2 linked regions of the Arabidopsis thaliana genome follow. The protein of the gene in region 1 interacts with the protein of each later gene in a pairwise test. Each region holds a gene or a part of one and is shown on either strand. Other genes may lie near its edges. The genes, in order: AT4G26770 and AT1G21940.

What was found.
Region 2: the proteins of AT4G26770 (region 1) and AT1G21940 interact in a protein complementation assay, tested with the Arabidopsis thaliana proteins (2 studies listed by BioGRID).

Annotation. Positions count from the first base shown.
Region 1 is NC_003075.7:13,480,268-13,485,496, forward strand, and holds AT4G26770 (Phosphatidate cytidylyltransferase family protein), read left to right. Parts: upstream 1-1,796; 5' UTR 1,797-1,951; intron 1,952-2,284; 5' UTR 2,285-2,312; coding exon 2,313-2,519; intron 2,520-2,591; coding exon 2,592-3,006; intron 3,007-3,081; coding exon 3,082-3,223; intron 3,224-3,297; coding exon 3,298-3,454; intron 3,455-3,545; coding exon 3,546-3,593; intron 3,594-3,670; coding exon 3,671-3,757; intron 3,758-3,845; coding exon 3,846-3,974; intron 3,975-4,057; coding exon 4,058-4,114; intron 4,115-4,189; coding exon 4,190-4,273; intron 4,274-4,340; coding exon 4,341-4,430; 3' UTR 4,431-4,676; downstream 4,677-5,229. Other genes in the region: MAP65-2 (microtubule-associated protein 65-2), read right to left, coding at 63-278, 355-600, 685-888, 962-1,033; AR192 (Co-chaperone GrpE family protein), read right to left, coding at 4,799-4,897, 4,993-5,121, 5,201-5,229. UniProt on the Arabidopsis thaliana protein: May be involved in the synthesis of minor phospholipids and in modulation of IP3-mediated signal transduction.
Region 2 is NC_003070.9:7,714,398-7,718,713, forward strand, and holds AT1G21940 (uncharacterized protein), read right to left. Parts: upstream 2,579-4,316; coding exon 2,419-2,578; intron 1,165-2,418; coding exon 773-1,164; downstream 1-772.

The sequences.
Region 1 (5,229 bases):
ATGTGCAGCCTAAACTGACCAAGCTCATGTCAGAGATCACAAAGACCATGATTTTGACTAACCTTCTTAAGTCTTTGCATTTTATCTTCTTTAAGAGTCAAGACAGTCTTAGCCAACCTTGCAAGTGTTTCATTGCTAATGCTCTTGGTTTGAACACCATTTGCCTCATCTAAGCTCGGATGAACTTCGGTGACAGTGCTTAAGAAATCTAAACGAAGGACGGCACATAGATCATGCACCGTGCTCACAAACTCGAGCACCTTCTGTAACCTATCACTCTGCTCAAACACAAAGCAGTTTTAGTTCTGGTTTGAACATAGGCCACACATAACCATATCCCAACTAATATTTTACCTTCTCTTTCTGGAGCTCTTGGAGTTTCCTCTGGAAGTCATCTAATCTCTTTAGAGACAAGTCAGTCTCATCAACCACATGAGGTCCATTGTTCAATCCGCCAGCGATCTCCTCACATATCTTCTGAATCTGTGATTGTACATCAGAAAATGCCCGGACCCTTTCCTCTTTCTGTTGCCAAAGTTGTTCAAGCGCAGGTGCTATTGCAGAAAGTTGTTCTTTGATCGTTCCTGAAGTCTTATCAGGCTGCAATGGAAACAAAGACATTGAATCACACTACACTGTAACCATCTCATCTCTTTACCACTTGTAAGACGTGAGATTACTTACAATGTCGATATAGCTTTTTTCCCCGAGAGCAGTTGTGAGATTGGAAAGTTCAACAGTGGCATCTGACAAAGTCTGAAGAAGCTCTGCACGAGATTTTGCGGCTAGCTCAACTTTCTTTTTGTAAACATTCAGACACTCTTCCTCAATCTGTAGAAGCAGTTTGTCTCGTTCTTCATCACTCTCCCCAACCTCATCCCAGATTTCCTGTAACAAGTTTGTACATTGAGTTTGTGGAACCATATATTAAAAGGATAAGTGTGTATGTTGCGAAATCTACCTGCAACTTCTGTAGTAAGGTGCCACAAGTGATTTCACCAAGAAGAGGATTTTCTGCTTCTGTCACTGCCATTCTTGTGAAGTCAAAAGGTTTCCTACAAAAGTAGAAACAACGAACATATTTAGTGAAGATCCAAACTAACTATACACTAAAAGAAACCAAAGTTGCAATCTTTTTTAGAAAACCAAATTGAATCAGAAACAACATTTTGAACTTGGGAACAAAAACACATCAAAGAACTTAGTGAAGCTAAGAATGTGAAACTAAGCTCAAGAAAAGCTCGAAAGGAACTTCAAAGAAATCAAACAGCATTGGTGATAAAACCAAAGCCAAAGCAAGAAATCAACATTGAAGAAGTAAAGAGGCAATGAGCTGAAATGAAACTAATCGAATCCAACAAGTAGAAGATGGCTTTCTTACCTTAATCGATATTGAATCCAAATGGTTTATCTTCCTCTCTTTTAGATCTGAAGCGACGAATAGTCACTGTGAGAGTAAGAGAGAGAGAGAGCATAGGAAACAGAGAAATCTCCAACTTTGGTTATGGAGGTTGGGAAATGGGAAAAGTGGGACCCATTTTACGGAACTCAATAATTAATGAGGAAAAAACAACAGCAAAAAGGTGAGAGACCCTGTCTTTTCGCGTTATTTACTGATTTGACCACTGATCTCACAGACCTCGTTGACTCCTCATGCTCATGTCTGAATAGTTAAAAGGCTTTCCTTAATGGGCTTAAATATCTGACCCAGCCCAAACAGATCAAGACAACACGTGTCACTCATTCCGGGTTTAAACATGAAGCAGCGACATGAATAGTTTATTGGTTCTCTCTTCCGATGATTTGATGAAACCTCACCGCTAAGTGCTCATCCACCACCTTCCTCCTCCTCCTTCTTCCCTCACCTTTTGAGTTTCTTTCTTCACGTTTCTTTTCATTAATTAGGGTTTCGCATTTTCAATCACCATCATCCCACCACGTTTTCGTTAATGTAAGTTCATTCTCTTTTTTCTACTTGTCATGATCCCATTTTGTTGCAATGTTCACTTATGAAATTTATCCTTTGTATGTGAATCATCACGTTTTGCTTTGATGAATCATTTAGATTTCTAGGCTTACACATTCAAATCTAAATCCTCTATTATATGCTTGTTACACAAGTAATCTCTCATCAGATATCAATGTGTGTGTTTCATTAAGACGTGTATAAGCTCGAGTTATGGTTGACATTTTGAAATTATAGATCAACCCCAAATTCATTTCCTCGGATGTATAAAGAAACCCAGATCATCATGATTAACTGAATTTCAAGAACTCAATCCAGGAACTGAGAGCATTTCCTAGGGATCTCAATGGCAATGGAGAAAGATCTCAGTCCAAATTCTCCACGGATTAGAAAGCTAAGGGATACTAGTTACCCTACTACACCAACGTCTCGAATGAATACTAATAACCAGAGAGATAACCATTATCCCAACATTCCTAATTCACCAAGGGATTACAATTATACTCCTAGCTCTCCAACAGCTCGCATTCGACACCGCAGGCGATCAAGCGAGGTATCTATACAATGTCATACTCTCTTTTCCGGTTGAATCCAAAATTTGATTGTCTTTTTCAATATTGATCAGAATTTAGCTGAGGTGAACAGAAGCAATGTAAGCAGAGTAAGCAATTTGTTACTTGGTGATAAGAACAAGTACAGATCAATGTGGATAAGGACATGCTCATCTCTCTGGATGCTCGGTGGAGTTGTGTTTATAATCTACATGGGTCATCTCTACATTTGGGCTATGGTTGTGGTTATACAGATATTCATGGCCAAAGAGCTCTTCTTTCTTCGCAGAAGAGCTCATGAAGAACGTCGCTTACCCGGTTTCTGGCTCTTGAATTGGCACTTCTTCTTCACGGCTATGTTGTTTGTCTATGGACGCATCATTCAACAGCAGCTAGTCAACACGGTTTCTTCAGATAGATTCATATACAAGCTTGTGAGTGGTCTTATCAAGTACCAGATGGTTATTTGCTACTTCTTGTACATCGCAGGTTTGTCTGTTTCTTTTTTCTTCACAAAAACAATACTCTCTTTCTTGATTTATTAACAGCTTAAGTTGGATTCAGGTCTCATATGGTTTATCCTTACATTGAAGAATAAGATGTATAAGTATCAGTTTGGGCAATACGCTTGGACACATATGATCCTTATCGTTGTCTTTACTCAATCTTCTTTCACCGTCGCCAATATTTTTGAAGGGATCTTCTGGTACAATGGACTCTTATATATATCCACTGAAGCATAATAGTTTTCCCGAGTGCTAATTTCTTTTAAATATGCAGGTTTCTTCTACCAGCAGCACTGATTGCTATGAACGATGTAGCAGCTTACTTCTTCGGTTTCTATTTCGGGAAAACTCCGCTCATCAAGTTGTCTCCAAAGAAAACATGGGAAGGTTTCATCGGAGCATCAGTTGCAACTATAATCTCTGCATTTATTGTAATAACCTTCTTCTATCATTTATTCATTCGTTCGTAACTCTTTCTTTTGGTCTCAAGACTGATAGATTATTATCTGCTTCGTACAACAGTTTGCTAATGTCTTAGGCCAGTTCCAATGGCTTACATGTCCAAGGAAGGTAACAAAAAGTGATATCTCCATCACAATATTTTGTCTCGGCCTTTACTTCATCCTTGTGTTGCATATCTTTTGCAGGATTTATCAACTGGTTGGCTTCATTGTGATCCAGGCCCTCTCTTCAGGCCAGAGTATTACCCATTTCCCTCTTGGATTACTCCATTTGTAAGCAATTAACTGTCCTCTCGTGAAAACCAGCCGATGATGTTGTCTTGTTTTGAAACTGAGCTCCGTTGTGAACTTTGCTTAACAGTCTCCATGGAAAGGGATCTCGACCCTGCCTGTCCAATGGCATGCTTTTTCTCTCGGTCTATTCGCATCCATTATGGCGCCTTTTGGTGGCTTCTTCGCAAGCGGTTTCAAAAGAGCTTTCAAGATCAAGGTTAACACATTTTTCAAACATTAAAAGGTTTTGTATCTACAGATCCAAGAACAAATATTTACTAGTTTATGTCGCTTTGACAGGATTTCGGAGACAGCATACCAGGACATGGAGGATTTACTGACAGAATGGATTGCCAAGTAAGAGTCACTAACGTCGAAAAGTGCAATATGATCTTTGCATCGTTTTAAACGAATCTTGTTGCCTAAATGCAGATGGTTATGGCGGTTTTCGCATACATCTACATCCAATCTTTCATTGTTAATCGGGACTACAGTGTCGAGATGATCCTAGACCAGGTAAGAATCATCATATAAGCCAAGAATACGGAGGCATTGTAAATAATTGATTGTATTATACCTGCAGATATCGAGGAGCCTGGGACACGAGGAGCAGAAAATGCTTTATGAAAAGCTCGGAGACATTCTTCAACATAAGTTGCAAGGGAGGTTTTAAATAGTGAGTGCAAGTTTTGTGACTCTGTTTTCAGCTTCTTTCTCTATGGTTAGTTTCTGGTTGTATCAGACCATGTAAAACCTTGATTTGTATCTGATTTAACTAATCAAACAGAGACTTGGTAATAGTGTGCGAGTAGAAGAGATGTAAAATGATATTTTCCTCGTTCAATTATAGCATGGAGATAGAGAAAACAGACACAGAAGCAGGATTTCCCCTGCAAATGCCATGTCCAGCAACTTATGGGAGATCTTGTTCATCTAATGAATAACCAAACCACAAAAGAAAACTATGACTCGAAGACTCGAGAAGATGTTAATGGAAACATAGAACCGTAACAAAATTTATGAAAACCAGCTGACTTCTTCTTAAGCATCAGACTCTTTCTTTTCTTCTTGGTTCTCTCCTCCCTGGGTAACACCAACCTCAGCTGGTCTTATAACTCGGTCATACAGCGTGTATCCAGACTGCACATATTGACACCCATCATTACTAATTGGTATTTAAGACTATACAATATGAAATAAAGAGACAAAGAATTGAGCAAGCTTTATATATTTACCTTCAAGACATGAGCAACTGTGCCTTCTGGCTTAGAAGCATCAGGGACTTGGAACACTGCGTTATGTCTGTTTGGATCAAATGGCTCGTTTATAGGATCATACTTCTCCATACCAAATTTCTTAAATACCTGCAGCGGCACACATGTTTAACCGGTCTCATCTGCATTGCTTACTTAAGGTCTTATAATTACATTTCTCGATATTTACCTCAGCAAGCTGTTTCTCAGTCATCTCCA
Region 2 (4,316 bases), on another chromosome or scaffold:
AAAACAAAGAAGAAAGCTTTTCATGATTACAACTGATTCATTGACATTGTCATCTCCACCAAGAAATTGCAACACACGAAGCAATAGAATTTAATACGATAATATATCTGAAACTGTTACGAGCAATGTATATGAATCGATAAATCTTGGACTCCAATATCAAATGGTATTCAAAAACTAAAAAGGTTCAAAGTGAAAACTTTTATCAACAAACTCTTGTTCAAACTAATGAAACAAAGAAAGATTATTATAACGATAAACGATGAATCTCACTAAAACGACGGCGTTCCAAGTCGAAAGCAGAGGGAATGTTGAAAGTTAAACTTGATTTTGAATAAGTTTAATTATTGGATCAATTATCCAATAATTAATTATGGCCAAATCCAAGTTCTAGAGTTTTCTCTAGAAATATCATCATTTCCACCTCCTTAAAAGATTCTAGAAATTTTCTAGAATCATCTTCCACCTCCTTAAACATAAAAATCTAGATACTCTAATAGAATAATCTAGATAATTTGAATAATGTAATCTAAATCTTATGTAAGAACTCTCTAGACTTAGGATTAAAATATTTTAGATATTTTGTAGTTTGGAGGCTATAAATACCTCCTCCCCCTCTCAAATGTTGCAATGTTGTGAAGTTATCTTCAAGTTTAAAGCAAAGTAATAAAAGTTATATTTCCTAAAAAACTCTCTCAAAACACTTAAACACTTTCTCCATTACCTCTAAAAGAATTTTACTCTAACAGGGAAGATTCCGGCGAACACAAACTCATCCGACGACGAAGAACCGAAGATAAGCGGAGAAGCAGAGCGAAATCGCTAGGCAGATAGAACCCAACGTAAGTTTCATGTCCGTCTCTTCTCGTAGTCTACGCATCACCACCGGCGCAAACGTGAGTCCAAGCATCGATAAACCGATTCTGATAATCACCACCATAAAGCACATATCGGCCATCTTGTTCAGCTCTGATGCACAGTATAACGCCACGTGTCCGTTCTTCGTCGTCTCCGTTAGATATGAACCGTCGAAACCAGAAGCTCGTTTGCAGATTCCGGTGAAAATGGCGAGCGAAACTGCAAGAAAGAAACGATCGTTTACACGACGAGTTTCTTCTCTTCTCTCACGACCTCCATCTTCGTCATCCATTGCGATCTCGTAGTCTTGCAGGAGAAAATGGAGATTTTGAAACGATGATTGATGAAAAAATCAGAATCCGGGAAAAAGTGAGAAAATTTGTCTCTGAGAGGTTTTGGAGTTTGTTAAAGAGGGAAAGAAGAAGGGTTTATAACCTAACCATGGTTAAAATTTTAACCATGGACCATAGTTTATTTTTTAACCTTGCTTTTTCTCTAACCATGGTTTATAATCCGTACGTGTTGAAAAAGTTTCAAGGAGAGAGGTGATGACTGATGATATTGAGTGGACGAAGGACTTACCTCTTTTGGTCACTGTTAAAAATTGGTTTCTTGAATTACTGGTTACAAAATTTCGTTCGTTGCTGAACCGGAAATTGACAATTTTGGTTACACAGAATTGGGACCAAAAATATCTGCATGGTTTAGTATTTGATCATATAACTACCTATAAAAAGACTAGAAATATTTTATATTGTTAGATAATTGTGAAATTTTGAACAAAAAAAAATGTTAAGGGTTAAATATGGTCTTTTTTACTAAGTTTTATTCATCGGTTTTTCTAAAATGTTACTACTTTGGGTAAACAAAAGTTAAAGCAGTTGCCTGATTACGACACGTTGAACAATGGATTGATCTTATGTAAATTTAATTGATAAAAAAACAGTTCATGACTGCATTTTGCAGCTAATTCCTTAAACATTTTGAGCTAAAATTTGAAACTATCATCAAGAACATGAAGTAATTAGTCTTAATCCGATATCATAAACGGTTCACACACACATCGATTTCTTTGTAAAACTAATTATTGTATTCAGGGATGCGATCCGAAACTTTAACGCATTTTTATCTATGCAAATACAGTATGAAGTGATAAATATTGCAAGTTGTAACTACAATATCAATTAATATTCAGAAAATCTTGTTTAAACCTTTTATTCAAGAAACCAAAATGTTCACAACACAAATCCAAAGAAATAAACGAAAAGCAGATACAGAGCATCCGCGATGGTCTCACTGAACGATCACAGGTCCAAATATTCAAACCTCTAATCAAAGAAACCATAATGTTCAAAACAACAAACCCATCAAAGAAAGAAAAAAACGAAAACTAGATTGTAGATAGAAAGAGAGATGATAAATGTAAGCATCGTCGATGGTCTCACTAAAAGACACAGGTCCATAGTAACGGTGGAAGAAACTCAAGACACACCACTCACCCGGTGACGGAGCAGCGAAGGTACGCTAAGAAAGCAATCGTGAGGACGACAAAAATCAAACCCACGAGCAGCTGCACGTCACACTCTTCTCGTACTTTTCTCATCTGTTCCAGTTCCACCACCATCGGAGCAACAATGATCTTGAGAATCACAAGCATAAAAGCAAGATGCGCCCACAAGTTGAACTCCATCGCCCAAGAATACGCCACGTGTCCGGTCATCGTCGGGTTTGGATCTGAGCCAGCAGCTGCTCTTTTGCAGACTCTTGTGGACAGTTCAAGCAACACTGCGACGACAAAACGACCGTTCAATCTACGAAGCTCTTCACGTCCCTGTCACGATTCTCTTCACGTGGCTCAACAACTCCTTCCATGGCGAGAGATTCTTGCAGGAGAAAAGAAAAACAAGATTTTGAGACGAAGATTGTGAAAATGAAAACAGATTCGGGAGAGAAAATCTATATAATAAGGGTTTTTGGAGTTTATAAGCATAAAATGTTTCTTTTATTTAAATTAACCACGGTTAAAGTTTGACCGTGGACCATGGTTAATTGGTTATAGTAATCGTACGTTTTCTAACGGGACGTGAGTCTTGATGACTGTGTTGAAAGTTAAACTTGATTTTGAATCAAGTTTAATTATTGGATCAATTATCCAATAATTAATTATGGCCAAATTCAAGTTTTAGAATTTTCTCTAGAAATATCATCATTTCCACCTCCTTAAAAGATTCTAGAAATTTTGTAGAATCATCTTCCACCTCCTTAAACATAAAAATCTAGATACTCTAATAGAATAATCTAGATAATTTGAATAATGTAATCTAGATCTTATATAAGAACTCTCTAGACTTACGATTAAAATATTTTAGATATTTTGTAGTTTGGAGGCTATAAATACCTCCTCCTCCTCTCAAATGTTGCAATGTTGTGAAGTTGTCTTCAAGTTTAAAGCAAAGTAATTAAAGTTCTATTTCCAAAAAAACTCTCTCAAAACACTTAAACACTTTCTCCATTACCTCTAAAATAATTTTACTCTAACAAAGTGGTAGCAGAACTTGAAGATCCTAAAGATGGCGAGTAACAATGTTCCCTTCCAAGTCCCGGTGCTCACAAAGAGCAACTATGATAATTGGAGTCTACAAATGAAGGCTATCCTAGGAGCACATGACGTGTGGGAGATAGTCGAGAAAGGTTTCATTGAACCGGAGAATGAAGGTAGTCTTTCTCAAACTCAAAAGGATGGTTTGAGAGACTCAAGAAAGAGAGACAAGAAAGCTCTCTGTCTAATCTATCAAGGATTAGATGAAGATACGTTCGAGAAGGTCGTTGAAGCTACGTCGGCGAAAGAAGCATGGGAGAAGCTTCGAACCTCTTACAAAGGTGTCGATCAAGTCAAGAAAGTACGTCTTCAAACTCTAAGAGGAGAATTTGAAGCACTACAAATGAAGGAAGGTGAACTCGTCTCCGACTACTTCTCAAGAGTGTTGACGGTTACTAATAACCTTAAAAGAAACGGAGAGAAGCTAGATGATGTGAGAATCATGGAGAAAGTTCTTAGATCATTGGATCTAAAATTTGAGCATATTGTCACCGTCATTGAAGAAACAAAAGATTTAGAAGCTATGACAATAGAGCAACTTCTTGGGTCATTACAAGCTTATGAAGAAAAGAAGAAGAAGAAAGAAGATATCGTCGAACAAGTCCTCAATATGCGAATTACAAAAGAAGAAAACGGCCAAAGTTACCAAAGAAGAGGTGGTGGTGAAGTACGAGGACGAGGTCGTGGTGGATATGGAAATGGACGTGGTTGGAGGCCACATGAAGACAACACAAACCAAAGAGGTGAAAACTCATCAAGAGGTCGTGGGAAAGGACACCCAAAATCAAGATACGATAAATCAAGTGTCAAATGCTACAATTGTGGGAAGTTTGGACATTAGGCTTCTGAATGTAAAGCT